Linked DNA regions of Rattus norvegicus. The protein of the gene in region 2 purifies or fractionates together with the protein of the main gene of each other region. This does not show direct contact. Links are inferred from orthologs where the notes say so. Each region holds a gene or a part of one and is shown on either strand. Other genes may lie near its edges. The genes, in order: Sf3b1, Snrpd3, Prmt5, Snrpa, Mepce, Sf3a2 and Cdc5l.

Evidence for each region.
Region 1: the proteins of Snrpd3 (region 2) and Sf3b1 fractionate together in Homo sapiens (co-fractionation; 4 studies listed by BioGRID and IntAct, with this or other methods). This does not show direct contact. The link is inferred for Rattus norvegicus from reciprocal best matches to the Homo sapiens genes SNRPD3 and SF3B1.
Region 3: the proteins of Snrpd3 (region 2) and Prmt5 purify together in Homo sapiens (affinity purification with mass spectrometry; 3 studies listed by BioGRID and IntAct, with this or other methods). This does not show direct contact. The link is inferred for Rattus norvegicus from reciprocal best matches to the Homo sapiens genes SNRPD3 and PRMT5.
Region 4: the proteins of Snrpd3 (region 2) and Snrpa purify together in Homo sapiens (affinity purification with mass spectrometry; 3 studies listed by BioGRID and IntAct, with this or other methods). This does not show direct contact. The link is inferred for Rattus norvegicus from reciprocal best matches to the Homo sapiens genes SNRPD3 and SNRPA.
Region 5: the proteins of Snrpd3 (region 2) and Mepce purify together in Homo sapiens (affinity purification with mass spectrometry; 3 studies listed by BioGRID and IntAct, with this or other methods). This does not show direct contact. The link is inferred for Rattus norvegicus from reciprocal best matches to the Homo sapiens genes SNRPD3 and MEPCE.
Region 6: the proteins of Snrpd3 (region 2) and Sf3a2 purify together in Homo sapiens (affinity purification with mass spectrometry; 4 studies listed by BioGRID and IntAct, with this or other methods). This does not show direct contact. The link is inferred for Rattus norvegicus from reciprocal best matches to the Homo sapiens genes SNRPD3 and SF3A2.
Region 7: the proteins of Snrpd3 (region 2) and Cdc5l purify together in Homo sapiens (affinity purification with mass spectrometry; 3 studies listed by BioGRID and IntAct, with this or other methods). This does not show direct contact. The link is inferred for Rattus norvegicus from reciprocal best matches to the Homo sapiens genes SNRPD3 and CDC5L.

What each region holds. Positions count from the first base shown.
Region 1 is NC_086027.1:64,023,740-64,028,107, reverse strand, and holds the start of Sf3b1 (splicing factor 3B subunit 1), read left to right. Parts: upstream 1-1,388; 5' UTR 1,389-1,517; coding exon 1,518-1,545; intron 1,546-4,368. UniProt on the Homo sapiens protein: Component of the 17S U2 SnRNP complex of the spliceosome, a large ribonucleoprotein complex that removes introns from transcribed pre-mRNAs.
Region 2 is NC_086038.1:13,141,920-13,146,108, reverse strand, and holds the start of Snrpd3 (small nuclear ribonucleoprotein Sm D3), read left to right. Parts: upstream 1-1,188; 5' UTR 1,189-1,303; intron 1,304-2,581; 5' UTR 2,582-2,597; coding exon 2,598-2,723; intron 2,724-4,189. Other genes in the region: protein GUCD1, read right to left, coding at 320-575. UniProt on the Homo sapiens protein: Plays a role in pre-mRNA splicing as a core component of the spliceosomal U1, U2, U4 and U5 small nuclear ribonucleoproteins (snRNPs), the building blocks of the spliceosome.
Region 3 is NC_086033.1:31,945,506-31,949,798, forward strand, and holds the start of Prmt5 (protein arginine N-methyltransferase 5), read right to left. Parts: upstream 2,808-4,293; 5' UTR 2,794-2,807; coding exon 2,684-2,793; intron 2,075-2,683; coding exon 1,956-2,074; intron 1,654-1,955; coding exon 1,568-1,653; intron 1,030-1,567; coding exon 895-1,029; intron 271-894; coding exon 158-270; intron 29-157; coding exon 1-28. UniProt on the Homo sapiens protein: Arginine methyltransferase that can both catalyze the formation of omega-N monomethylarginine (MMA) and symmetrical dimethylarginine (sDMA), with a preference for the formation of MMA.
Region 4 is NC_086019.1:91,611,850-91,615,120, forward strand, and holds part of Snrpa (U1 small nuclear ribonucleoprotein A), read right to left. Parts: coding exon 3,197-3,271; intron 2,200-3,196; coding exon 2,023-2,199; intron 52-2,022; coding exon 1-51. UniProt on the Homo sapiens protein: Component of the spliceosomal U1 snRNP, which is essential for recognition of the pre-mRNA 5' splice-site and the subsequent assembly of the spliceosome. U1 snRNP is the first snRNP to interact with pre-mRNA.
Region 5 is NC_086030.1:24,547,221-24,551,412, reverse strand, and holds the start of Mepce (7SK snRNA methylphosphate capping enzyme), read right to left. Parts: upstream 2,818-4,192; 5' UTR 2,227-2,817; coding exon 643-2,226; intron 1-642. UniProt on the Homo sapiens protein: S-adenosyl-L-methionine-dependent methyltransferase that adds a methylphosphate cap at the 5'-end of 7SK snRNA (7SK RNA), leading to stabilize it.
Region 6 is NC_086025.1:9,563,334-9,567,724, forward strand, and holds the start of Sf3a2 (splicing factor 3A subunit 2), read right to left. Parts: upstream 2,867-4,391; 5' UTR 2,828-2,866; intron 433-2,827; 5' UTR 397-432; coding exon 271-396; intron 162-270; coding exon 90-161; intron 1-89. Other genes in the region: Plekhj1 (pleckstrin homology domain-containing family J member 1), read left to right, coding at 2,963-3,141, 3,255-3,504, 3,745-3,811. UniProt on the Homo sapiens protein: Component of the 17S U2 SnRNP complex of the spliceosome, a large ribonucleoprotein complex that removes introns from transcribed pre-mRNAs.
Region 7 is NC_086027.1:23,060,933-23,065,351, reverse strand, and holds the start of Cdc5l (cell division cycle 5-like protein), read right to left. Parts: upstream 2,956-4,419; 5' UTR 2,851-2,955; coding exon 2,806-2,850; intron 441-2,805; coding exon 337-440; intron 1-336.

The DNA.
Region 1 (4,368 bases), on a different chromosome or scaffold from region 2:
AAAACTTGGATACACCTTAGGCTTATTTTCTCTGAGTATGAGGCCATCCTTAAATTTGTAATTTAGGTCCCAGCCCTGGGTTACATTTAGAACAATTTAAACAGCGATAGAAAGCTGCAAATCTGGTCAATAGGTCACTCCTCTTTGCCTGATCACAGCAAAGTTATTGCAAGAATTATTTTAAGTACACCCATGCTGTTCTTTTTCAACTAGCCATTACCTGGGGTCATCTTGCCCACCGGACAGAATTATTTCTCGAGAAGAGAACTGGGCTTTATTGCAAATCAGGACTTAACACTGCTTGTGACCCTATCCCCCTTGAGCTGCCTGTTAGGAAAGTGTTCTATGGTGTGGGGGCAGGCCTAATGGCTGGTCAATACTGAACAAGCATTGCCATCTTAGGCATCGTAAACTTTAACAGGTCTGGGTATCATACTGTTTTTTGGGGGGTATTTTGAGGGCAGCATTCCTTTAGCTAAATTCTACTTTGTGTAATTTAATGTCTCGTAAGCAAACCTATTAGTAATTACTACATCAATTCTATTACTTTGAGTTTCTTTTACATCAAATCCTTTTAATAATGCACACCTGAAGGAAACATTGCTTGAAAAACTATCCATATTTCTCCATGCCTCATTGTGAGGCTATGCAGCAAGCTTTTTCTAGACAGTTTCTCTTTTTCTTTAAAATAATGTGTATGTATGTAGTGTTCATAGGTCCATCAGATACCTGGACTGGACTTAGTTTGTGAGGGGCCATGTGAGTGCTGGGAATTAAATCTGGGTTCTCTGGGAGAGCAACCGTTTCTTAACCTTTGGGTCATCTCTCCAACCTGTCCTAAAGTTTCCAATGGTGCCCTTTCTGTTTTCCACTGTCCTGAATCTGGGAGTTCTTTCTTTCTTTCCCTTTTTTTTTGAGACAATGTATCTATTTTTGAGCCAGGCTTCTGGGAACCAAGGCTAAGAGCCTAGTTTATTTCCAAATTCGTTATGTAGCAGAGGTTGACCTTGAACTCTGGATCTTCCTGTCTCACCTTTTGAGGGCTGGGTTATATACTTCATCTCCGGCCCCAGCATTTAACTCCCTTAGAATAATCTGTTCTTTTTCTTTTTTCTCTCTCCTTTCCCTTCCTTTCGTTTGCTTTTTTTGAGACAGGGTTTGTCTATGTAGCCCAGTCTTCCCTGGAACTCTCTTTGTAGATCAGGCGGGTCTCGAACTGCCTTTTGTCTTCCAAGAGCTTGAATTAATGGCTCTGAGAAGACGCGTTTCACTTGGAGAGCAGCCATTCTCTTCAGCCTCGCTCGCTGTTTAAGGAAGCCGCCGGGAGCCCGCCCTGGCCCCTCCCATTCCCATCATGCACCTCGCAATTTTATTTAGGTGGCAGTTGGACTACGTGCCACGGTGCGGCGCGCGTTCTCGTGTGCGCAGGCTCAGAGTGCGGCCTGCTTCTTGTGTTGGCGGAGGCGAGCGGAAGTCCTTGGGAGCGCCAGTTCCGTCTGTGTGTTCGAGTGGACAAAATGGCGAAGATCGCCAAGACTCACGAAGGTAAGCGGCCTTTCCCTTCCCACGCGCGACCTCGGCAGCCAGCCAGATGCGTCCCTCTCTCTTGGCTTTCGGCGTCTTCGCGAGGCATCTCTGGCCTGGGCCGAGTCAGCGCGGCGGGGCCTGCTCGGCTCTTCGGCGCAGGCCGCTACCCTCGTAATGGCGTCCTCTTGCACTCCGGGGCTGGTGCTTTGTTCCGCGCTGGATGTTGGTGCTTCGGACTTCTCTTGCTCTGGCCGGAGGGCCTCGCTCGAGCGGCTTGCTCTGGAGGACTCCGGGGGAGGGAGCAAGAGGCGGACATGGGAGGGACGTCTCTCTCGCTCCCTGGGCGCTGTCGTTGGCAGTTTGCACCTGGAAAGCCCTGAATGACGGCAGCCGCTTTCGGGCCGCTCTTAACGGAGTCCGTTTCAGCGGAGGCCTGTTACTTCAAACCTCCGTTGTATAGGTATCTCCAGGCGGCTGGGTTATGTTGTGGTGGTGCTTGCACGAAATGATTCCGGCATAAAATCTGGTAGTTTACTCCTTAAATCACTTTCAGCGTAGTGTTTCTCTTTTTCTTTGAGAGCTAAATGTTGGAGAACCAGGAGTAAGAAAGAAGGAAGGAAGGGCAGATTTGACCAGTTGCCAAAGTTTTCAGGGTAGTCGGTCATTTTATGCCCCACAAGAGTAAAACAGCTTGAAACATGTTGAAAAGCTACCGGATTCCATAAAGAAGGAACCAGAGAAGACGGGAAGGAATTGAGTGTGAGAGATTGAATCTCTCTTTCTTGGCTTCCGGTTTAGAAGCCAAAATTTACGCTGACAACATGGCTACTAAGTCACTAAACAAGTCCTTTCTAAGTGTGTGTCTTGGTGTTAGAGAGAGGTAACAAGCTAAGGATGTTAGAAATTTGACAGTTTGATGTGGAAAACAAACGTGAGTCTTTATTCTCTTAGAAAAGGAATGTGTACAGAGAAGTAAAGCCAATACTTTCTGAGAAGCTGGGTAACGGAGCCATTAATTTATGCATAGTTATTTTTGGGAGGTGGTGACGTGGTGCTGATAAAAAAGGATCAATCAGTTTTAAATTAGAGGAGGATGTCTGAGCCCGAGGGAACATCTTGTAAGAACACTCGTGACTCGTAAGTGACTCGTTGTTGTGGTGGACTAGGGTGTAAGGAGGGAATTCCGATACGATTCTAGAGAGATGGTTTAGGACCAAAAGGTGATTGTTGGGACATTGGAGGAACTGAAAGTATCAACACTTTTGAAAGCCAGAAATGTTAACGCCTTAGTCTTTTGTTTTTAAACTGAAAGTACAACACATGTTTTTGTTTTCTTTTTTTCTTTTCTGAGATTACATAGTGATCCCTGTTGCCCTGAAACTTCCTATGTAGACAAGAATAGGCCCTAGTCTACAAGGTTAAAAGGCCCGAGTGTGCTATGTCTGGCTAGTCCAAGACTTTTTTTTTTTTTTTTTTATTAACTTGAGTATTTCTTATTTACATTTCGAGTGTTATTCCCTTTCCCGGTTTCCGGGCAAACATCCCCCTAACCCCTCCCCCTCCCCTTCTTTATGTTTTTTTTTTTTTTTTTTTTTTTTCCTGGAGCTGGGGACCGAACCCAAGGTCTTGCGCTTGCTAAGCGCTCTACCACTGAGCTAAATCCCCAACCCCGGTTTTTTTTTTTTTTTTAAATTGCAATCTCTCTCTCTCTTTCTTTAAAGAATGATTTATTTCATGTATGTGCGAACACTGTCGCTAGGTTATTTCATTCTGGGGAACCAGTGAGTTTTTTGGGCTTACAGAGCCTGGTATGAGGGGAAGTGTTTACTGACAGAAGCATGGTTTACTGCATGCTGGCATCTCCATAGCTGCATAGGTAGAGTTTCATGCCCTGATAGGTTATTTATTTATGGATATTTTGTAGCTTTGATTGTTGGCTTATTGATATCTTCAATGTAACATACTCCCTGTTAGAAAATGTAAAGTTTATTTTATGTGCAGTAGTGTTTTTCCTACATATATGTCTGTGAGGGTGTCAGATTCCCTGGAAGTGGAGTAAAAGACAGTTGGAAGCTTCCACATGGGTGCTGGGAACTGAACCCAGGTCCTCTGGAAGAGCAGCCACTGCTCTTAGCTGCAGAGCCATTTTTCTAGCGCTGGTAAATGTAAAGTTTAGGGATGAATTTATTTATTTTCTTTCTTTCTTTCTTTCTTTCTTTCTTTCTTTCTTTCTTTCTTTCTTTCTTTCTTTCTTTCTTGTTTTTTTCATTGTAGAAGTCCAGCAAACTTGTTGGTCAGTTGTAGGTCATTGGCAGAAATTGCTAATTAGGATTATTTTATCGTTGAATTAATTAGTATTGTACAAGTGCTGTTTGAATGCAGGGTGCTGTATGTCACTATTAGGTATAAGTCAGATGCTAACACCACCCCCCCACCCCCCAAAGACAGGGTTTCCCTGTATAGACCTGGCTGGACCTAGCTGACCTGGAATTCTGTACACGGGGCTGGGCCTTGAACACAGATTAATCTGTGTTTCTTAAGTACTGGGATTAAAATTCTCGCATCACCACCGCCCATCTCATAACTTTTTAGTAGAACTGTATATAGCATTTTCATGGCCTCTTGCTCTCTTAATGACGTTTTCCTGGAGAATATAGTGTTTTACAACTGTCATTTAAGTCACTGTAACATGGAGCAAAATTCGTTTTCCTGAGGGGTGTGGCCCTCAGTATAAGTCTTCATTGTCTTAGTCTTTTTGTTTTTTTTTTTTTGTTGGTAGGTTTGTTTGTTTTGTGGCTTTGCCTTGGAATTTGCTCTGTATATCAGGCTGGCCTCGAACTT
Region 2 (4,189 bases):
ACAGCTCCCCGGGAAACAGGATCACCCAACGTGCTTCAAGCAGGGCTATTCGTTTCTGAGCAAGGTTGTGCCTTTTTGCCCCTTGGACTTTTCCACTTGACCACTCTCAGAACTCCCTGGGCTTCAAACCCCGGGAGACTCAGAACAACCATAAGTTGAGGATAAGAGATGAGAAGGAATATCCACCTAGCTAGGACCCACTAGAGGCTCCAGGCTGGGCTGAGGCCGCAGACGACCCAAGGTCGCACGCTGCCAGACCCTGCTCGGCTCCAGGGCGGAGTCCCCCCCCCCCTCGGTTCCCCCTTAGAGAGGCACTGACCCGGCTCGAGCGGCTGCCCCGCTGCCTCTACCTCCGTTCTCATGACCCGGGTGGCGCAGGGCGCCCATGGCCCCGGCCTGGAGCTGATTGCCGCTGCGATTTCTGCTGGGCGGAGAGCTCGGCCAGTGAGCGTAGAGTTCCTCCGCCGCCGTCGCCGCGGCCACCGCGGTTCAGACCCGGGTAGGCGGTGGCGAGGCCGCCTCAAGCCACGCCTAATCCCTTCCAGGTCTGGGCGCTGGAAACCCGCCCCTTCCATAAGCCACACCTCTTCCCTTCTACCCACTTCTCTTCCAGACTGCGCTCCCGGCCGGTCCTTCCCTTAAACGCTCCGGCGGCCCCGCCCTTCCTTAGCCCCGCCCCTGCCCGAGCCCCCGCCCCCAGAGCCTTTCCCGGGGCGACGTTGGCTCCCCACAAACAACCTAGCACTCTCCCGCCACTAGGTCTGCTCTTTTGCAGCCTCAGTTGTAGGCTCTGGTCCTTCGCAATGCCTCGTCGAGACTCCAAAGAATCCTTTTCCTACTCCCTTTAGGTCTTCTTACTTTGACCTTGAATAAAGATAGTTCCCAGGGCTCGGTGTGTCCCTTACCTGACGGTGACCGGATCCAAAGTTTAAATTTCTAATCCAAGCCTCACTTCCTGTCTACCCAGAGCATTGGGCGCAAGCCCAGATCCTGCCCAATCCGTCACTACAGCACTCTGTAAGCGTGGGTCCCCATGTTCCTTTGTGGGCTCGAGGATTGATGTTTCCGGCGGTCCTCGGGCCCTCCACAGTGCCGGAACTATAGTGCTAGAGGCCTGGGTTCCCCAGCCGGCTAAGTGAGAGTAAAGGGTAAGTAGGCCTAAAGGAAAGGGAGGGGCCTGCGCAAGGCATTCTGGGAGCGCGTGGTGTGAGTGATACTCGGGCCCGTCGTTTCCTCGCCTCAAGCCTTCGCCTTCTAACGTTTGTGCCGGGACCGAAAAAAAAAAAAAGCCTGCAGTTAGTTGGTGAGGAGAGGCGGCTAACGGGAGAGGGGAGGCCAGGGCTCTCCAGAGGCTTAGGAGCTGAAAGGGACGCGGAGGAGGAGCTCAGCGGGGCTTAGCGGAGGGCGGGAAGCCAGGGCCTATCCAAATATCATCTCACTAATCCTAGGAACAGTTATTTATTTACGCCTAGCCAGCACGTTCTGTGCCTTTCCAGGTCACCGATTTTCGAAGCTTACAGGCAGTCCTTTCTTGCTAGTTATCTCCTTGCCTTCCGGATCTTCGTTTTCAACGTCCTTTTCATCCCTGCGCCACTCCCATTCCTGTACTGGCCTCCCCTCCTGCTTTGCACGCTGCTGCAGACGTTTCAGCAGATTGCTCTGCTATATGTTTAATCCACTTTGTAGATGCTACTAGTTTTTTTTTAAGCCCTTGCCTATAATCCTGTAGTGTTTCCCTACCATTTTCAGCACTCTCCTAAAGTTGAAAGCCGTGGTTCCTCACCATGTTTAGCATCCTTATAGTCTTCTCATGAAAATGGGCCGTGTGCTCCGTCTAGTGTCGTTTCCCGTCTCAGAAATGTAAAAGCCCTGCGCATAGTCTTTGTTTTTTTAATGAGACTTAAGTCGAGCGTTTACCCTATTTCCCTGAATGATGAGCATTTCCTGTTTATAGCATGTTGCCGTGACGCTTTTGGTCTGCTTTTTGGTGGGGAGTCAAAAAGCTAAATTGTAAAGCACAACCTGTTTTCCTGGATTTCTCTGGGTTTAGGTCTCTTTGTACTATCAGGTACTGTAGCTTTTATCCAAATGCGGTTGCTGAGTGATTGGAATATGACTAGTGTGGCTGAGGGACAGATTTTTTTTGTTTTCATTTGCATTTTGTTTACGTGTAAACAGTTATTTGGTCGGGGTCCATATCATAGTTGTTTAAATGATTATAAAGAGAGGGACATATGACTGGGTGAGAAGGGAGGTACTCGGGGTTGGGGATTTAGCTCAGTGGTAGAGCGCTTGCCTAGGAAGCGCAAGGCCCTGGGTTCGGTCCCCAGCTCCAAAAAAAAGAACCAAAAAAAAAAGAAAAAAGAAGGGAGGTACTCTGATCCCATTCATTGGCTTTCTTTGTCCAGTTTACCATCCTTCCCTACCCTACATGTTGGGCTAACTTGCCGTCGTGGGTCCTTCAAACCAAGAGCCAGACTCCTTCCACAGAAAATGCAGCCGTGACAGAATCTGCAGAGCCTGTGGAATGCCAGTCCTTAGGCTCCGAAAGGTAACCATTGTCTCTCTCACTGCCCCATAGGAAGAGTCCTGCCAAGATGTCTATCGGTGTGCCAATTAAAGTCCTGCACGAAGCGGAAGGCCACATAGTGACATGTGAGACCAACACTGGTGAAGTGTATCGGGGGAAGCTCATTGAGGCAGAGGACAACATGAACTGCCAGGTATCCTGCTTTGCACCCGGGGCTGTGAAAGAACGGTGGCTTCTATCCTGGGGGATAAAAAGGTCTTAATGAAGTTATTCTTACCAGACAGTTACTACCTGTCAGGCACTCTGACAGGCTGTGAGATCATATGTCAATGTAGACTTAGTCTTGAGACAGGAAAGTCATTTGACAGCCTGATGTGGTAGTCCATGAATGTCCCAGCAGTTGGGAGGCTGGGGTAGATTCGAGGGTTCTAGGCCAGTGTGGGCTTTACAACAAGACCACACTGCTTTTGGTGGGGAGTCAAAAGGCCGAGTTAAAAGCCCCGCCTCTCTTCTTAGTTTTCTCTGGGGTTGGGTCTATGTGTGCTTTCAGGTAGCCTTTATCCAAATGCAGTTGCCGAGTACCTGTCCGTAAAACAACCAGTTATGTTAACTTGTTCTGTCTGTCTCGGCTCCTAGAGTAGGTCAGGTTCGGAACCGGAGTCCGCTTCCCAGCACAGTTTATAGTTTGCAGAATTTTCTGCTCACATATGTGTGTGTTTACTTTTGTCTTGGAGAAAGTTCATCTGATAAAACTACCAGAGTTTTGATAAATGGTTTTGGATTTTTTTTCTCCCATTAATTAAGAACTTGAGCTTTGGAATCAGAGAATTCTCTGATTTCAAATTGAGTTGGGCCACAATTATAGGACCTGGGGTACCTTGGCCATTCGTTCTCTCCTCTATAAAATGAGAATGGAGTTGTTTTGGATCCTCTGTGCTGTAAATGCCAACCCAGAATTAAATCCACAAAAGACTTGTTGGGGAAATGGCAGAAGGATGTCAGTGACCGAGCGGGATAGCACATGTGATTGGTTACTTTTCTTGTTGCTGTGATCAAATTCCTGACCAAAGCAACTTACGGAAGGAGGAATTTATTTTGACTCACAGTGTGATGACACAGTCTGTTGCAGAGGATGGTGTGATGGCAAGAGCTTGAGGAGGCTAATAGTCGCATTGAATGTGCAATCAGGAAGCAGAGATTAGTGCCTGCGCTTAGCCCAGTTTCTACTTTTGACCTCCACCTAATCTAGATAATCCCTCACAGACGTGCCTGTCCCTTCCTTCAGTAATTCTAAATCCATTAAGTCGATAATAGTAATGATGGTAGCAGGAGAGTCTTCAATCCAGAGAAAGGAAGGCAGATTGAGCAGAAGGAGCCTCAGACTGCAGCATGATGCTGAGCAAGTTTCCCCAAGTAAGAGGAGTGACTGGAGGCAGAAGTGGACTGGCTCTCATGTTTCCTCTGTGCTCAGTCCCTGGCAGCCTGTGTGCATGGCTAACGCAGAGTGAGTGCCAGGGCAGATCCAGAGCAGCAGCTGGAGGATGTCGGCTGCACACTCTTCCCTGCCTATTGTCTCTGGAGGATGAACGTAACATCCCTAGACTGCTCCAGGTCTAGAGATGTTGGAGAAGAGACGTGTGTGTGGGCAGCAGCCAGCTC
Region 3 (4,293 bases), on a different chromosome or scaffold from region 2:
GTCACACAGAGTCCGGAAGTTATGCCACCTGCCCAGAATCAGAAACAAAGAAAGACCCTGTCAAATGCATATGGCTTATAACTCAAGGAACACTCGAAATCCGTTCCCCATAGTCCTCACCCCGCCCTGTGCAGGTAAAGCAGCAAGAGAGACATACCACAACCACGTCTTCTCCTCTCCACTGTACTCCTCTGTGTGTGCAGTTGGTGCATTCTCAATTACATCATCTCTCAGGTCCTCTGGGGCCACCAAGGGGACCCTCATCCAGAACTAAATATGAACAGGTACCCTGTTAAAGCGCTGTTTCGAACTCAGTGGGTCCAGAAGTTAATCTCTTTATATGCTTTTCTAAAGATTTATTTATTATATTTATTATATAGAAGTACACTGTAGCTGTCTTCAGACACCAGAAGAGGGCATCAGATTTCATTACAGATGGTTGTGAGCCACCATGTGGTTGCTGGGATTTGAACTCAGGACCTCTGGAAGAGCAGTCAGTGCTCTTAACCACTGAGCCATCTCTCCAGCCCTATATGCTTTTCTAAATGTGATTACACGTGTTTGATCTCATACATATCCTTATACAAAGACTTAGCTTGTCTTTTACTTTAAATAGAAATAATTAAGTATTTTCTCTATCTTTAGTTTTATAGTACTAAGACTCAAACCCAGAGGCTCCTGTGTGCTAGGCAAGTGATCTACCACTGAGCCACATCTCTAGCCCCATAAGCTATGTTCTGAAACTCTCTGCACACCGCTTTTAGACGGGGTGGGGGAAGAACAGTACTGACATTTCAATTCTGCCAAATGCACGTGGCGGGGGGCGGGGGGAGCATAACTGGGCAAAAGGTACAGCTAGCGTGATACACAGTAGGAAAGAACCCTCAGTCATACCATGGAAGAATGGTGGCCAGTGTGGATGTGGTTGGTCAGAACTCTGGCCAGATTTGTGTTATCTTCCTGATTAAGGGGCAATAGGAAAGCTGGAAGACCTAGATATGCCCCAAAATTCAGCTCCTGCAACATAGCCTGAAACATAGGATGAAAGAAAACCATTAAGAGCTAAGAACCAAATACTTCTGGGGTAAGGTAGAGTAGAAACTGGCTCTGACACTGTGGCCCAGGCTGTTCTGGAATTTTCTCCATAAGTCAGCTTGACTTGGAATCTGAAGGAGTCCTCACTCACTCTCCAGAATGCTAGGATTACGGCTGTAAGCTGCCATACTCCACCAGAGCCAAACGTTTCCTCTTTTGAAACAGGGTCTGGAATTCAGCGATTCGCTGAGTTGGAGATGTACCTCTGTTGAGATTATAGATGTAAGCCATCACACATTTCTTCAGACACTTAACTGTACTATGATTTACCAGGTTACTCTCCTAACCTAGTTTAGTGACAGAATTACTTTATGTCCTTTTCTTTTCCCCGCATGGAATTCTCAGTCCTCCCTCATTATCTTCCAGATGTGGGAATAGCCTCCCAGATGCTTGAGATTGCAGATAGGTGCCACAATACCCAGGTCAGGCCTAACTTTTAAAGGGATCCCACAGAGAAATTAAACTGCCTTACCGCCTCAGAGTTCCTTCGGATCTTCTCCACTTTTGAGTCTGGATGAATCCATGGAGAAAGCTTTCCCACAATTAGCGTATTCCAGTCTGCACTCCCCCACCCAAGAAAAGACAAAGATTCAATGGGGTTTGGCATTTTCTTGCTCAACTTCTAGTTCTCAGCAGAGAGTAAAGAGGTGAAAAGCAAGACTTTTTTCTCTCTGATAGAGGGATAGCCTGATGAAGAATGGGGGGACTGCAACTTTTAGAAAGAAAGGGGAAAAAAAGTTGTTATTTATGTCATAGGGGCTAGCCAATATATAACCAAATCAGAGGAGGAAAATTAAGTCCTATAAAGCAGAAGATATTACTGCCTCTAATAATTAAGGGGCACAGGGTAAGGTCCCTACCCCTTCCTGACAGCAGTAGGTCTGATCGTGTCTGGGGGCCAGGCCGATTCTTAGCAGGTTCCTGAATGAACTCCCTCTTGAAACGCGGGTGGAAGACAGGCATGCAGAGGAAATCAAACCTACAACCGTGACAGACCCAGAATCATCATGTAAAGTAAGGGCCCAGAGATCCAAGCAACTGGGATATTAATATCTTGATTTTGCACAGTTCCATAAAGCCATCATCAGTCACCCCACGGGCTATTGAGTTCAGCCCATCTTGGGACACATCACTTTCACAACACTGTGCATCAATTTCTTCCCAAAACACAATCATGAACCGATGAGCAAGAAATGGACATAGAAGTCAAGTAGATTTCTTTCTTCCCTGACTTCACTGGCTTTCCAGGACTGTCAAATTTAGACCTGTCCCAACACTGCCCATGCCTCCTCAAGCCAGATTAACCTCTTCTCTCGCTCGCCTCCTTATACTTCTCTCTACTCTCAAATAATCCGTCTCCAAGGCCTACTGTACATCCCTTTTTAAATCTGCCCTGTAACTCCCCTGACTTTTGAACTCCGTGACCACACGCCCCCCAGAGTTTCAACCTCTCGTTCTTGGGGCCGAAGTCTTCCCCACTCAAGGAGTAATGGTGTCTCAATCCCTCATCCCCTGCGAGGTACTAGTCTGCCCTCCTTGTTCCCCAAATTTGGATCCCGCACTCCTCTGGAGGAAATCCGGCCCTCACCCCTGCTTGGCCACAGCACCCAGTGTGTCAGCTATTTCAGGGACGCAATTCAGGTCCCTCCCGCTGGACACGCGGCTGCCACCAGCACCTCCGACTGCCATCGCCGCCATCTTTTCCCTCGCGCAGCCCACGCCGGGATTCCTTGCTATTAGAGGCCAATCACAAAGCGGAGAACAGTCCCGGGGAGGCGGGACAAGTCGCCTTAACAACCAGAGCGTCTTTACAGCCCCAAAGCGGAGGTGGAGGGACCAAGTCGCTGCTCCCACCAATCCGCAGACCGCACAGTGACATGGGCGTGGCACCCTTGCTCTACCAATGACAGGCTCTCGTTGCTGACGCTCTGCAATCTCCCAGAATGCCCAGTCCATCTGTAGCGCTCTAGTGAGACTACAGGTCCCATGCAGCCCTGCGGGATAAGTCTGAAGTATCATTATTGGGCCGGCCTGTAATGTCTGCGGGCCAGTGGCGCAATGGATAACGCGTCTGACTACGGATCAGAAGATTCCAGGTTCGACTCCTGGCTGGCTCGTTGGGACTGGTACTCCTTTATTTGCATCCCTTGCTAATCTAATCATCTCCCAATGTTGCTACTTCAAAACGTCTTTCTTTTATATCCTCTGCTATTTCTTTCACGCTGTGGTTTTCAGGTCTTGGTTCGATTTTGCACCCATCTAATGCTGGCCTTTCTCATTCCTCTCTTCAAAGCTGTTTTGTATATAATCAAGTTATTCTGAGTATGAAAATTTTGGTGACTGGACTATTAAAATGAGTTTTGTCTCATTGTTTTGCTACACTTAAAAAATAGACTGTAGTAAATCACCCACTAATTCCTACTGATTCTGTCCCAAACACGAATGTAAGTAAATATCTTCGCGTGCGCACACACCTCAGAGAAAAGAAATTCACCAGAAATTACAGTGCCCAGGAACCATGAACCTGCATTTCCCACTCTTAACAGCTGCTCGCACGAGCAAAAGGAAATTACAGAGGCAAGGAAAGACCTAGGAAGGGAAAAGGGAAACACATCCCTGAAGACAACAAGCCCATAGATACTGAGGGCCCTCCAGCCAATCTGACGGAGTTCTTTTCTCAGCTGAAGTTCCCTCTTCCCAAATAATTCGCCTTGTATTACACTGACTTAAAAAAGCAAAAACAAAAGCAAAACAAAAACTAATCACGATATCCACGACAGGAGACATTGACAGAATTCAGGGACTAACTAACAAGGAGCCAGGAGAAAATAATTAATGATAATGATAATAATAATAATGACAACAATGACGACGTTCATCGTTTTGTCCCTGCAGTGGGTAGAGGTCAGGGAGAATCGTATTTGGGGACTGGATAGGCTGAACTGGTCGTCTAGAGAGACCTGAACCAGGCAATATTTGGACATGACTAGTGAGATTAGGGGTTCTGGAGGACAGTGCTCTTAGCAATACAGAAAGGACATGGAGTCCTGGGTCATGTGAAAGTCAGGAAACCAGAGAACTAAGAAAACGTCCCGTGAGGGTGTTGAGGGTGCATTTGTACCCTGCCACCTCCACCACTACCACCTCCCCTCCTTTTGCTGCTCTAGGACCTTGTGCAGTATACATCCTACATTCAGT
Region 4 (3,271 bases), on a different chromosome or scaffold from region 2:
TCCTGGCATGTGGTGCATGATGCGGGGTGCCTGAGTCATCGGTGGCATGCCCTGTGGAGAAAAGAATTAGCAGTGATGTCACAGGGATAATGGAAGGCAAGGTCACAGTGCCCACAGCACAACGGAGCCACTGAGATAAGACAGAAAGAGAAAGACCCACACTTGAAAAGATGAAAAGCAAACCTAATTGAGCCGCCAAGAAGGAAAAGCTGAAGTTCAAGGATGAATGCTAGACCACAGAGAGCTTTTTGAAGGGGGGAAAAAAGAGGCATAATTACTAAGGCCCAACTTTGTCCAGAAGTATGTAAAGACATTGGAGGGAGGCTGAAGATGACTCAGTGGTCAAGAGAGCATGGTTCCCAGCACCTACACAGCAGCTCACGGCGCCCTATGTTTCCAGCTCCAGAGGATCCAGTGTCCTCTTTGGGCCTCCACAGGGACTGCACTCAAGTGCACAAACAGTCACAAACTTAGAAAGTTCTTACCACGTAGCCTGACTGGCCTTGTACCCACAAGGACATACATGCCTGCCTTGTGCTGGGACTTAAGGTGTGTAGCACATGTGGCCCAAAAATTACATGTTTAAACAAAAGAAGAAAAAAAGACAAGAGGTGGCTCAGCAGTTCTGACTTCTTTCAGAGGACCAGCATACAGAGGACAGATCACAACTGTTACTAATTCCAGACCAGGGGATCCGAGGCACACACACGTATGCAATAAAAAAACAAATACCCACATGGACATACTCCTATATGTATTAAAATATACATATATTAAAAACACTCTAATGTAAACTAAAAACAAAAAAGGTGGTTCAGCAGGCACCAGCCTCCAAGCTGACACCCCGAGTTCAACCTCCAGGATCCAGTAGAGTAGAAGAAAATTGGCCACAAGTTGCCCTCTGACTTCCGCTCATGTGCATGGGCATAAACACTCATAAGCACAGACAATAAGCAAAAATGTAACTTAGTAATGAAAATAAATCGAAGATGGAAGAAAGGTTGAGAGCAGAAGTGATCACTGGGCCAAGCCAAAGACACATCTACCACCACTAGCTACAAAATGACTCAGCCTAAGAACCATCGGATGGAGACGGAAGGAGGCTCCACACTTCAGCTGTCCTTTCCTTTATGCAGTGTTTCTGGAGTCCATTGCAGAATGATGCCCTGTTTCCTATTGGGTCAGCTGTCACACTTGGGCCCATGAGTCAGCTTGAATTAATGTTCTCAAAACAGGCCAGAATAACCTTAACCTCCCAGTCTCGACACCACTCGCAAGGGCACACATTAACCCTGACGTAGTACAAGGTTAATTTCCCTTCTTTCAAGTGCTGGGAGTTGAACCCAGAACCTTATGGGAACTAGGCATACCTCGTCCTAGGCAGGGCATCAGAAGTGCAAGGATTCCCTACCAGGCTGGACTGTCATGTCTTATGAGCTATCCCTCTACCCATAGGCTGGCCGTCTTGGAGGCCGGAACTCCAGAAGCTGTCTTCAGCACTGGACAACTGAGAAGGTTCCCTCCTCCTTCCACGGGATCCCAGGACTTACTTGGCCAGCACTTTTACCAGCAGAGACAGCATCACGGACACGTCTGCCTAGAGCATGTGCAGGCGCTCTGCCTCCTACCCAGCAAAGGCGGTTTTACCTCTGCATTTACTCTGTGATCTCTTTCCTCAACAGAGAATAACTCTCTCCTCATTTCTCCTTCTGCTTACAGCACTAGGGACTGGACGGATGGTAGGCTGGTAAACTTTTACTTTCTATAGAGACATGGACTTAGCGTGAGCATGCACAAACATGAACATACAAACACACACTGAAGTAAAGATACACAAAACAAAACCAAACTCAAGGAAGAAAACTAGCAGACAGACCTTCAAAAACAATCAAGTGTATGCAGGGGAAGAGAGACCTGTTCCATCCATATGGCTCACCCAACCCAATGGGACAACGTGCTCACTCTACCCCCACATGAAGCCATGTGACTGAAGGAGTGGGAGGGACACTTTTCTGCACTTACCGGTACAGGCTGGACAGCGCCAACCACAGGGGCAGCTGCCCCACCCTGAACAGCCTTTTTGGCAGCAGGTGTCTCCTGACTCTTGGGCTTCCTCTTCTCACGTTTGCGATCTCTCTCCACAAAGGTGCCCTTCATTTTGGCAATGATGTCTGAGTCAGTCTTTGCGTACTGGATACGCTACCAATCAGAGCAGAAAGGTCAAGGGTATAGAAATCAGGGGAAACTGTTAGGGTTCAAAATGAGACATCAAAAGGAGCTTGCTAAAAAATGTTAGAGATTGCTTGGTGACAACTTCCTCATCTGTAAAATGGGGATATCTTCCACTTGACAGAATTATTGTAGAAAGTTAGTAAGTCTAAGCGCCTGGAAGCAGCTATAACTGTAAGCTACAACATGAGCTCAGTCTGGCCTGGTCCACCCTGCTGAGAAGGGGACCTGGATACAACTTTTCAGATACAATGGTCAGGAAAAGCAGACACACAAAAGGGAGGGGTGAGAACCCTGTGGACACAAGGAGGACCTAGCAAGGGAACAGCCAGGAAGCTAAGGGATGAGAAAGGTTGGTCTGGGATCCTAGCTGCTCATGAGACGAAGGCAGGAGGATGGGCTCCACTCCTGCCTAGCTACATGGGGATAAGAGGAAGTGAGGAGGGGAGGTCACAAGGACAAGGGGAACCCTTTGTGCTTTCCTAGGAAGCTGAAAGACAGTGTTGTAAGGAGGGACGGGAGCTCTCAGAAGAATTCAGATGTGGAGACAAGGCTGGGTGTGTGGAGGGGGACAAGCAAAGGTGGTGGCTAAAACAAGGCTTCCAGTGGAGCTTGGCAGTACAGGCAAGAGGCTGCAGTCATAGGACGTCTTCAGAATCCTTTGCTCACTTTGATTCCATCATATTTTTGGAGTATTTTAGACAGGCTCCAACTCTGCAGTCTAGGTTGAGTCAAAACTCTTGGCAATTAATTCTCCTGCCTCAGCCTCCTGCATGTAGGCACAAGCCACCACACTCAGCTACTTGATCACTCTGTGGTCCCACAGCCCCCGTATAAGGAACACAGGAAGTAGGGGAACAGCAAGAGAAAGTCGCATCCTTAGAACACTACAGGCCACAGGAAGTCCACGCCCGCCCAGTCTCCTACACTACACACAACATGCAAACTTCACATTCAAGATACTCACCATGGGCTTGTCGTAGAAAGGGAAGCCCTGCATGGAACGCAGGGCGTTGGTGGCACTGCTGACCTCCTTGAAGAT
Region 5 (4,192 bases), on a different chromosome or scaffold from region 2:
AAGTTCCCCTGGATGGCCTAACAACTGTGTAATGGAGGGAACTAGCATGATGTCAGGCTGGGCACTCGCTCCATGTAGAGCCCTGCCTTCACTGCCCCTTCTCATTGTTCAGTCAGCATGGGAAGACAAGCCCATGAGTTCCTGACCAGTAATTTCAGCAGTCTGTGCTGCATCTGGGGAAAAAAGGCAAATAAAGTCCCTATCAAAGTCCCAAACTACACATATTGGAGTGTTTCCCCTCCCCCAGACACCCAACTTCAGGCTCCCTCAGGAGATTTGAGGACAAGGTTCCATCTGGACTCAACAGGAGAGGTTACCCTCAAGGGAAGCGGATTGTTTGGATTTTAGTCCCAGTTGGAAGCAGAACAAGTCAGCCCCCTATGTTAGGGATGAGATCCTTGTTTGTAGTCATGAGAAAAGACCAGATGTTAGAGCCTGAAGGTAGAGATCCCACTTTCCACGTTATAGGAGCAGAGATAACACACCCAGCAGAGATTCTCTGGCCAATCCAGACTGTTCTCTCCGGGAGATGGTTCTTGTATGAAGGAACAGATGCATGGATATGGCCATCCCCCCCAACACATCCCTACTTAATCTCATCTTCACATTGGGACCCTATTCCAAGAGCCTCTGGACTCTTACCGTGACGAAGACGACATTGTTGGGGAAGACAGATGTGTCCGCTCCATCCAAGGGCAAATGGGGTGCAGCGATGGGACCCCGGCTGGCTGTCAGTGAGGCTGGGAAGCAGCTCCTTTTTCGGACAGTGGTAGTCCCTTCCTCCCCCTCTGTCCCTGGGTCCCCCTCAGAAGTCTGAGCTTGGAGACGAAGCTCCTCGGACAGGTAGTGTCGGATATTTTGGCGGGCAGAGTGGATAAGTCGTGGATCAATGTCCAGCCCCACCATGCGGGCTGGGCCCCACTTGCAGGCAATACTTAGGGTCAGATGGCCAACGTTGCAGCCCAGATCTAGGACGTCCCGGCCTTGAAACCACTCAGGCTTCAATACCCTAAGGCGCATGTCCTCACAGGAAGGATTGCGATAGCCATAGTACTTGCAGTAATTCCCATACTGGAACTTGAGCTGTTGCTTTTTGAAGCCAGTTGCAGGTAGTGGGTGGTGGTGACGGCCTCCCCCACTCCCTCTGCCCTTTTCCTTGGAACCCTGGCTTCCACCCCTAGCCCCTGCCTCTGACTTGCTGGAAGTCCTGCGACGTTTGCGATGTCGGGAGGAGGAGGAAGAGGGTGCAGAGGTAACTGAGGCAGCTGGAGGGGCAGAAAGGGAGCCTGAGGAACCCTGCAGGGCAGACGGAAGGGGAGACACAACTTCATCCCTGCAGTTGATGGCTGTGTTGAGTTCATAGGGTTGAGGGTCATCTCGGTTCTGGCCTCTGTGCTGCTGCGTAGCACCCTCCCCATGGACTGAGGGTGTGAGAGGGTCAGTGGGCAGCACAGCTTGGCTATCATTCCCTCCAGATGCCTGCTGCTGCTGGTGGTGCGGTCCCCGGTGTCTATGGCGCTTGCGACCAATCTTGAGTGGTGAAGCAAGCACTACATGGGCTTCATCAGTGCACGTGTTGAGACTGAGTGGGTCAGTGATATCTTTTGGGATGAGGATCTCCACAGGGTCTCTCCCCTTGGCCGGAAGTGGGGATGACTTTGGGGTCTCCGCATTGAGTGCGCGACTCACTTCCTCATCCAGGAGGCTATTCAGGTTCAGTGGATCAAATATATTACCCCCCAGAAGGAAATTGGATGGTAACACGGAGTCGCAGTCCGAATTCACTCGCCGGCGCCTCTTGAAGGCCGGATGTTTGAAGCTTCCACCGCTCCCTCCCCCCACGTTACAGCTATTTCTTCTTTTGCCCCCACCACCCACTGGGGGTCGGTGGGGCTGGTAGCCATTGCGAGGTCGAGGAGGGGCTGGGGGACCCAGGTCCGTCCCGCCCCCTCCCCGGCGCTCCTCCCCCACGTCCGCAGGAGCGGCAGCTCGCCCGTGGGGCTCCCCATGCGTCTGTGCCTGGGGGCCGCCCCCTCCGCTGGCTGTGGCCCCGGCCGAGTGCGCGCGTGGGCCCGGCCCGCGTTCTGTCCCGTCGAGGAGCTCCCCGGAGGCAGCCTCTTGGTGCGATCGCACCTCGGGGCCGCCCCCTCCACCCGACTCATCTTTGAGCGGCGGCGGTGGGGCTGGCACCAGAAAGGGCTCCTTCTCCGCCGCCATCTCGATCATCTCCTCTCCCTGTTTAATTTCCCCTTCCCAAGCGAGGGTACTGAGAAGAGATCAAGGGGAAGCCCCCCTGTAACCCTTCCTAAGACCACCTCACTCCCTCCTTCCCCGAGTGCGCGCGCAGCTCTGCCTCGCGCCCAAGCGCCTCCACCTCCCTCCCGCAACACACCAAGCGCGCTCCACTCGCCCGCGAGACCAAAACAAGATGCCCGCGAGACCCGGACAAGCCGAGGAACCAACTGCGCGTGCGCTGACACCCTTTTCTCCGCCGCCTCTACCACTCTGCCGCGAGCGCGCACGACGGGCGCGCGTTCCGCTCGCCCAGGACCCACGCATGCGCGCTCCGCCACCACCCAGGCTGCGCGCGCATCGGGAGTGCGAACCAACTTAACGGCTCTGAGAGTTTAAATACAGCCCCCCCTCCCTAATAGCCTCACCCTCCCCCAGCCCGAGACGCCCACCGCCCCACACGGACACCCGACTTCCCTTCGCTGCTAAGTCCAAGCCCTACTGATATCCTTTGTCTCTGCTGTGAGATCCCACCCACCGTAGGCGGGGAACGGGAGCTGGTGTGAAAAGGTCTCCTTGACACCCGACCCTTGTTCCTGAGGAATGAGGCTCCGCGGTCTCCGCCCGGCTCTAAACCCAACAACCTCCCTGCCCCGCCTCCTTCCTCCCCCATCCCCGCCCCTCCTAGAGAGCGCCTGCGCACCGTCCTTTTGGGCTTGCGCGGGTTGAAGGGGCAACACGTGCTGGAGATGATGCTCCGCCCCCTCCGTCCTAGGGGCGGGGAGTATGACGTCGTTTCCTTAGGTTAGATGCACGCAGCGTGCGTCAGCACGTTTCCAAGGGTTGTGCATTCCCAGGAAAGGGGCAAGCTCATGAATTATTCATGAGCAATCTAGTCCTTCCCCTCCTTCTTCCCGCCCATCTCATTAGAATTAGAAGGATTTAGGAGAACCTGAGGGGGGAATGATAAAGTAGGCGAAGGAGTCGAGCACACTGTCTCAAGAACTGTTGTCAATTAAATGCAATACATTGTTTAAAATATTCTTCGAATTGAAAACAAGCAAGCACTAAAACATCGAGGCTGTACAAATTCCTCTTCCCCTGAAACGGCCTGGTCGTTCAGGCGACCTCCCTTCCACCAGCGAGGAACATCTAGAGAACCACGCCTTCCTCTCCTCCCTTCACCTACGTCAGGCCTCGGACGCCTCCGCTACAGTGCGGCGCCTGCGCATCAGTCCCCAGCGCGAAGGGTGGCGTTGTTGTTATCGTCAATGCCACCTTTCGCGTTGTGGATTTTACAGCATTATCGCTGCAGCTTTGCTCCACTAGACACACAAGCGAATGTGGGCGGGAACGGGTATCGACCTGTTTTGGGCCTTCTGCTTCGGCCAATGGGAAGCACTGATTCCATGCCGAGTCCCTAGACTGATGGCTGGCGGAGTTTCCCTGTCAGCAGACTATCAGAAAAGAAGCAAGAGGGGGGCCCAAGATGGTCTCAAAATATAAGAGCGTGACGGAAACTAAAAGATAGGGGTCATAACATGGAAACAGGAAGGAGAAGGAGATTTTAGGCAGAGACAAGAACGAAGTGCCTCAGGTGCTCCGCTGCAGCTTATGGGGGGGGGGGGGAATAAAGGCGCCGGCGTGGATTATGGGACTTGTAGTTTCACTAGGCTTTCACTCGGAAGATGGCGAGCTACTCCAGCTGCTCAGACGCAAAAGCGGCTTCCCTCGGCGCATGCGCACTACGTCTGTGAGCGCACGCCGCTTGGGGGCGGGATTTGTCCGTGTCTTCGCGCCTTCTCCTGGTGGCGGGAAAAGTAGCTCGAGGTGGAAGGGATGTGCGGAATGGCTGCGATAGCGTTAGCTGCGCTTCATCTTTAGGTCCTCGTCTCCCCAGAAGGTAGTTGTCTTTTATGCGGCTGCAGAGGAAGGTGTTAGCTGTGGTGAATCTGGGTAC
Region 6 (4,391 bases), on a different chromosome or scaffold from region 2:
AAGGGAGTGGTTGGCTCCAGGTGACAGGTCCAAGGCCGACCAGTGTCACCAGGCCAGTGCAGAATGGTGGAAGTCTGGTGGGCAGGTACCTCATTGTTATGCAGAGTCAAGCAGAGTTTGCACTCATAGGATCCCAGGTGGTTCTTCATGAAATACGGGTCCTGGGAGTGAAGAAATGTACCGTGAGACCGCACAGCCTGGCCCCGGGACCCAAGGACCAAGGTGGGCAAGGTGAGGGCTCTGCAGGCCTGGAGACTCTCCCTCCCCCACCTTATTGATGTCGATGGTTTCCAGGGCCAGTTGCCGCAGGCGCTCTCTTCGATCCCGGTTGCTCTCTGAGGAGGAGGCCACGCCCCCACTCCCAGTTTTGCCTCCAGGTCGGTGCTGAAAGTCCATGATGCAGGCCTGGGTACTTTAGGGGACAGGAGAAACCTGGGGAGCAAGGAAGACTAAGGCTTAGAACCCTGCTGATGATGCTAGGACCGCGGGATGGCCCAGCATGCAAGCCATCCCTTCTCTGACCTCCTGATCCTCCCAAGTGCTGTGACTACCATTGAGCCGCCTCTCCCTGATGTAACATATGATTACTATTATTGTTGTTGTTATTATTGAGGGAGGAGTCTCTACGTAGTCATGGCTATCTTAGAACTCTCCTCACACATTAGGCTGGCCTCTGCCTACCTCTGCTGGCATTAGAGGACACACCCTCCTCTGCCTGACACAAGGAATGCTCGATACCAAGGGTCTCACCTTGGAGGCTCAGCCAAAGCCTCCAGACAGTGTTACCTGAGGCAGAACACTTAAGACTACTCAGTCTACTGGTAAACCTACAGTAAACCCAGGGCCAGCGACCAGGAGACAAGTAGAGACAGCTCTTGTCATCATCACTGGTGCCTCCCATAGCACAAGGGGCTCTACAAATGTGACCAAGAACCTTGAGGGCAGGTACCCAGTTACTACAATGTCACTAGAGTGTGCTCAAGGCTGACAGGCCACTGACAGCACTGGCTGTCAAGGAGGAAGAGGCCAGAAGGCAAAGGATACAGGATGCTCTAGGTGCTGAGAGGGACGGCTTGAGAGGTGTACACTGAAGTGGCGGGACAGGAGCAGCCTATTAGATGTTTTGTACTCAGCCAAAGACTGAGAAGGGCATCGTCTACATCATCCAGAGCTACCAACAGACACACTCCCAGAGATGAAGCTGGCCAGACACGAGAGTACAGCCAAACGGTGGGAGAATCAATTGGCTTCTCAGAGTTAGGGGCACCCACAAGCAGCAGCAGCAGGATGGAAAACCACTCCAGGCTCAGGCAAAGACAACTCTTGAGAACATAGGACTCTGTGGCTGGCCTCCCCAGGGAGGCTGGGTGTCCATCCACAGACTTGACGGTGCCACTCAAGGAGAACACTTGTCCAGCATGCACTGGGTCCCCTGGGGGGGCATGCTTGAGGTTGAGTGCATGGATATCCACTGCAGAAATGTAGTTCATCAGCTTTGGAAGGAAAGCAGAATAAAACTGGCCTGGGTGAGCATACTGCTTGGCCCAGTGGATGGAGCACAAAGTTTTGCAAACGCTCACCAATGAACTACCGCCTCAGCCCACCAACAGTTCCCAACCTCAGGAAACAGAAAACATGGGGCATGGCAGTGTATACATTTCCTTCCAGCTCCCTTAGAGGCCAAGGTAGAAAGATGATGGGTATAATTTGAGACCAAACTGGGCTGTGCAGTGAGATCTGTCTCAAATAAAAGACAAAAGGGTGCTGGGTAGGCTGGCAAGATGACTTAGTGGCAGATCACAACCACCAGAAACTCCAGCTCCAGGGAACCTGACAGTCTCTCCTGGACTTGACGTTATCATACTCACACATGAAGCTCCACATGGACACACATTTGGAAAAAAAATCTTTAAAAACACGGGAAAGGGATTCCAATACCAGCTTTTATCTGCTTCCTGACTATGGCTGTAACACGACCACCATAGTGGACTGCACCTTCATACTATCAGTCAAAATAAACCTTCCTTAAAACAAAACAGTCAAGTGTAGTGGCACACGCTGTAAATCTCAGTATGCGGGAGGCAGAGGTATGGGAGTGTATGTGAGCTCGAAATCGGCCTAGTCCACACAGGGTTCCAGGTCAGCCTCAGTTATGCCGTGAGACGCTGTCTGAAATAAAGTAAAATTGTGCCGATGACTGGATGGACTCACAAGTGAAGCCTGGGACAAGAGACCAGGATGAATGGTTGGGAGCCGTGCGACCTCACGGACTACTCTAAGATTACCGATGAACGATCAATAGAAACAGAAGAGTAGTATATGTTAAGGTCACGGTCTGGGAGAAGGCCTGCCTGGTCTAAAGGCAAATCACTTTTTTTTTCTTTTTTCTATTTTTCGGAGCTGGGGACCGAACTCAGGGCCTTGCGCTTGCTAGGCAAGCGCTCTACCACTGAGCTAAATCCCCAACCCCGCAAATCACTTTTAAATGCATATACCGTTATCTTTTAATCCGAGCAACAGACCTACTACAGTGGACAGGAGCAGTAGTCGCCATGGCCCTGACTAACGGCGAGGGAAACTGAGGCAAACAAGCAGGTTAAATGACATTCCAAGAACCCGAACCACCCTAGAGGCCACGGAACCGCCACAAAAGTCCGCGATCACGCCACGACTCAAAGGACCTCGCGAGACCGCGCTCTTAGGGCGAGGGTGCGCCACGCCTAAGGGGAAAGGGCGGCCGCTGCCCCGCCAGGCCCCACGCTCTCGCTCCTACTTTCAAGACCCACAGACGGGGCAGCCGCCACCGACAAACCGCGTAGTTCCTTACCAACACCAAGGCCTCGGTAACTGGGCTTAACCTCCCCGAATGCCGCGATTTTGTTGTGCGCATGCGCACGACCGCTTGAGCAATCACTTCCGGGGGCAAGGAAGGCGGAGTTTCATGTGTGCGCATGCCCAGCGAATGGACTCCCCCTACGGGAGGCGGGAGAAAAAAAAAAGAGCGCCGGGACACGGAGTACGCGTGCGCACTGCATTGTCTACGAATTCTTGCTCCGCCCTAACTCTGTTGGCGCTGACTATCGCGACAGGACTTAAACCTCAGGGTTCACAGGCCCGGGAACGAGCTTCGCGTATCGTGAGGTGCTATGAGTCTAAATTTACACCCCACGTTCAGTGTGTCTGACGGTTATTTAAGGACGGGCGATTTCCTTCCCGTCCGACTCCTTGTTCTACTGTGCTGACCCACCAACTAGCGTCACGCAACACGCCCAACAACGCGCAGGCGCAGTAGCACCGTTGGGACTTACGAGGTCGCTTCCTGAGACTTTTGTGGCGCTAGTAGCGGCTTCGGGCAGGACGGCGGCCGAGAGGCAGGGCGCGTTTTGGTTCGCGCGGATCCGGGCGGCGAGATGCGGTACAACGAGAAAGAGTTGCAAGCGCTGTCCCGGCAGCCGGCAGAGATGGCGGCCGAGCTGGGCATGCGGGGCCCCAAGAAGGGCAGCGGTGAGCTGGTCCGGGCCGGGGCTGGGACACTTGGGCGGGCCGCGGGGTTCCCCGGTGGGCGGATGACAGCAGTTGCGCGCTGACACCGCCCTCTGCCTGCAGTGGCCAAGAGGCGGCTGGTGAAGCTGGTGGTCAACTTCCTCTTTTACTTCCGCCCGGACGAGGCCGAGGTAGGGGTGTGGGGGGCGCGGGGGACCCGCGCGGCCCAGAGGCCGGTGCTCATGGCCGTGTCTCGCGCAGCCCCTCGGAGCCCTGTTGCTGGAGCGCTGCAGAGTGGCCCAGGAAGAGCCGGGAGGCTTCTCCATCAGTAAGTGTTCTGTTCCCCACTTTCCACCCCGGACTCTGCTCCGCGCACGCGATCCTTTTTACTCCCTTAGGAATCTCCATTTGTCCTGGATCTCGCGTCCGCTGGTGGCCCATGACTGTCCCAGCTGTCACTCAGAGTGACCACTGGGTCAGGTTCTCATCTTAGTTTCTTCCCCGATCCTCTGCCGGTTTACGGCCGAGAGAGGTGCAGTCTGTGAACTTGGTGTGTATAACTGAAGCAGTCTCTGCCGTGGGAGTGAGTGTGCGGGCAGGGCTTTGAGGCCTTGAAGGACACCTGTCTCAGCCTTCACCTCTGGAGAGGTCTTTCTGCTGCGTACCTTGTAGAGATTTGTCCATCGTGTCTACCTCTGTCATCCAGTGGGGTTCTCCATCTGTACCCCTATTTTCTGCTTCTTGTACATGTGCACGCATGGGTTTCTGGGTGTGAGTATGCCAGAAAGGCCAGCGGAAAACTTGTGTAGTTGGATTTCATCTTCCACTGTGTAGGCCTCCAACATAAAACACTGGTCATTAGGCTTGTCAGCAGGCTCCTACCTGCTTGGCCACCTCACTGTCCCAAC
Region 7 (4,419 bases), on a different chromosome or scaffold from region 2:
TTATTCAATGAACTGAGGCCCAGCTACCTAAGATTTTGTATTGTGTCTCACAAGGCACTCTCAAATAAATACATTAACTCACTTGGACAAGGATTCACAACTGATCAATTAGTGCTAAGTTGTGAGAAAACAGGCAGGGTAAAGAGGAGGAAAAATGGTTTGCTCAAGACACAGGAAGCAAGTGGTAAGTACATCTAAAGGCCCCTCTTTCCATACTTCCCTCCATATCACAGTTCATGCTTTAGGGGAATAGAGGGGGTCAAAGAGCCAGCTCCCTCATCACAGTGGGGATCCGGATCACACTGCTTTCCCCTGGACTGACTGGTACATACATACCATCTGGCTTTGCACTGCTTTGCCGATTTCCTATGCAGCAATGAGGCAATCCTAGACCACTGGTTTTTCCCATATTTCATTACCGCTGCTTTAAGAATTTCATCCTAGAGAGTTACCAAAGAGAATGCATTCAGTCACAAGCCTCTAAATGAGAAAAGACAAAACTTAAGTTAGTCCCCGCAGAGGTCCTGTAGAGAGAGGCACACGATCGTTAAAAAAATAAAAAAGGCATGGAAACTTTATTATTCAGTGGTTAAGAACATGTACTGCTCTTTGCAGAAAATGTGAGTTCAATTCCCAGCACCCTTATCAGGCATCCTGCCTATAACTCCAGCTACAAGGGGATTCAAAGTCTCTAGCCACTGAAGGCACCTGTACTCATGCACAGACACATAATTTTTAAAGTAAAATATATCTTTAAAAAAAAAGAGAGAAAGGACATCTTACCTGCCCCTCAACAAACTGGAGGTGGGAAAAGTCAATGCTGAAAACACTACTTTATGACAGACAAAATTATTCACCCATATGTACCTGCCATTCTCTTCAAAGATAGAGTTCATATTTATATTTACTCAAAACAAAAATAACAACTGCAACAAAAACAAAAACAAAAAAAGCAAAGCTTCCTGAATATCTACCTTGAACCAGGTCTCATTATATACTCCAGGAAAGAGAATCAAAGAAGCAACTTGAGACTCTGGTTCAACACATTTCCTCTCCATCATCCTACTAACCACAACAGCTCAGGATCCACATTTCCCTCTACCTCATCAGTCAGCACCATCTACTCCAATCTCCAAAAACTACTTCACCGGGGTACCCATAGCATAACCCAATCCCCAGACAACCTGCCAAGCAAACTCACAAACATGAAAGTCGTAGATCTTTCTTGAGCACTTTACTTTTAGGCTTTTTCCACAATGAACTTGCATTGCCTGCCTTATACTTAAGCCCCTCCACTCCATCTTCTCTCCCATTACTAATTGGTAGAGTCCCCACCTAGTATACATGAAGTCCTGGGTTAGATTCCCATAAGACTTTGCATGGCAGTACACACCTGTAATCCCAGCCCTGGAGAGGTAGAGGCAGGAGGGTCACAAATTACCAGTCACTCTCATCTACATAAGAAGCTCAAAGCCAATCTGAGCTACATGAGACCCTATCTCAAACACACACACACACCCCTCTGCAGGGTTTTGACCACTGCTGTAACTTAAATTTTTGTGATTCTACTTCTTCCTCAGAAATCACCTCTTCCAAGTTTAAATAGCCTGGGTGCATGCAAGACCCTTTTTAGTACCTCCATTTGTAAAGTTTTTCAGCACATCTTCAACCAAATACATGTGGCAGGTCCCTATCCTACAAGATTCATTCCCAAACACCACCAAGCAGCCTGCTTCATACTAGCAGACCAAAGCCTGGTCCTTCTGCACTGCTGTCTGATGAGGACAACAGCAATTCAACTTTACTGAAAGCCTACTAATGTGCCCAGCTGTGTTTGAAATATTCCAAACTGCCAACTCATTTCAAGAGCTCAAACACTATTATGTGTCTTATAAAAATGAGTAAACTGAGGCTCTGAGAAGTTAAACTCCGCCAGAACCACACAGAAGTGCCTGCGACAACAAAATGAGCTGTAGCGAATGAAAAATAGGTGCCACAAACCCACTAAACAACCAACTCTCAACGGGACGGCTTATGGGCAAGGACTCCAAGAAGTGTTCTCAGCTAAGTTTGGAGGAGACTCAGAAAGATGCCAAGCAATAAGAAGCTATCTCAAGAAGGTACGAGACGTAAAGGTACTCCTACATTCAGCGCATCCGATTAAATACACGTTCATTTCATTTCTTTTATTTCCTTTCTTCTCCCGTTCCGCTCACCGTGACATTATCTACTACATTTCTGGAAGCAAACACCACCCTATACTGGCTTCTATCCCAGCAAGGGTGGCGTGACTGGAAGGTAAGAGAAAGGACCTTGGGAATCTGCAGAACGGACAGACTATGCCCGGGGACCAGATAAGCAGAGAGGTGCAGACGTAAACGCGCCGCCTGCCCCCGCTAAGTAAGTCACTGAAAAACAAAGTTGCGGTCACAGCGCTTCGCTCTGCTAGAACTGACAAAGGAAGGAGCTGGAGAAAAACTAGGCTTCCGCGGGGGTCCCGTCGGAGCCGCCACAGGGTTGCAGGGGAGAGGAGGGGGCGCGTCCCTAACTGAACAAATAAGTGTTCAAGGGCCTAGCAGATGCCAGGCGGGGAGCGCCGACCGACAAGTCGTGACCTCGTTCCCGAGGTTGAGCCAGGTGACCCGCATCCGCACCCACGCATGGCAAGGGTCTCCCGGGTCCGCAGAGTCGCGGCCCCCCACGCAGACCCCCGCGGGACAGCCAAGGCTCCCGGAGCTGTCCGCGCGTGCGCACTCGCTACCGGACCCGGCGGAGGGCTGCGGACGGCGGGAAAAGCTGCCTCACCTCCGTATTCCTCCACACGCCCCCTTTGATCATAATCCGGGGCATCTTGGCGGCGGAGTGTCCCGGCAAGCGGCCGAGTGGAGCTTCGAGAAAGTAGTAACGGCGCTTCGGTCACGGGACGCAAAGAGGCCACTTCCTCCAAGAGCGACCTTCTGCTTTGATGAGATCTGCGCAGGCGCGGCGTGAGCAGCCCCCGGTAAATCTCGCGAGATCTTAGAGGCCGAAGGCGAAAGACGCGGCCTATTTTGGAACCTTAACACTGACGGAAAATTATCAAACCGTAGAGGCCAAAGCGCCCGACGTCGCGCGCAGGTCCCAGACAGGTTGGAGGAAAACAAAACTCTCGCGAGATGCCAGAGGTGGAACTTGGCCGGCAACGCGTGAAGGGATTGGTCCCGAAGTCACGGGGGGGCGGTACAGGGGGAGGGGGGTAGGGAAGTCAGGGGTGTGGCGTTCCGCACCACGCTAGATCGGATGGGAGCTTTGTTAGTTTATTTAACGGAGCGCCCCGCTGGCATCTAAGCGACAAGAACTTCGCGGAGGCCTCAGGGAGATGCAATAGGGTGAGTCTGTTCTCTTCTGGGAACTACAACCCGCAGTGCCAAGTGCCGAGGATGCTGAACAGATTCAAGGTCCTAACTGTACCCTGAGAGACGCGACTGCTCTCCCGAAGTGTTCTTTATCCTTCCTAGAAGAGCCGCGCAAACTTCACCTCAGCCCCCGAGGAGTTCACGAAGGTGCGCCCTAGGAGCCCTCAAAGTGTCGCGCTCGCGGGTTTCACTCATACCTCACTGGTGGGTCTCTGTGGAACAAACTCGGCGGGTTGAGGGAGACTTGCCCCTGGGATCCTGCGGCGGCGTCATCTGAAGAGTGGAACTAAGGGCGAACTCTTGTTCATAAAATCGGAGGACAGCTGCGACTTCATAAACACTCGGTGAGGTGGAACCTGTCAAACTCTCCGCTATCTCCTCTCCCTCTCTCCCACGCAGACTATTCACTATTCCAGAGCAATTACTTGGTGCCACCCCAGGTCCCTAGGGAAAGATTTTATTCCATGCATAGCGGCTCTGCAGTGGTTCATTGCCATTGTCTGTGCTTCTCTTTGCCTCTTCTCGAAGACATGACGAATTTTCCGATTCGATTTTTGTTATTATTTTTCTCTTGAAATAGGAAATTGCACCAAAATATCACGGCTTTCAGTAGAGAGGAGGGAGGTGATGTAGTATTATGAAAAACACTTGGGTTTAGTGACCTACAATCTCACTTCACTTTTTTTTTAAAGGTTTATTTATTCTATATAAGTATACTGTCACTGTCTTCAGACACACCAGAAGAGGGCATCAGATCTCATTACAGATGGTTGTGAGCCACCATGTGGTTACTGGGAATTGAACTCAGGACCTCTGGAAGAGCAGTCAGTGCACTTAACCACTGAGCCATCTCTCCAGCTGCAACTGTGGGTTTATCAGGACTCTTGATTAAAATAATGGAAAGCTAACTCCAATCCAAAGGGGAATATGGAAGTAGCTATGACCTGGGAATGTTCTGGATCCAAGGATCTGAACGGAGCAACAGTGTACTTGCATACATAAAAGGCTTTAAATAAATCCACAG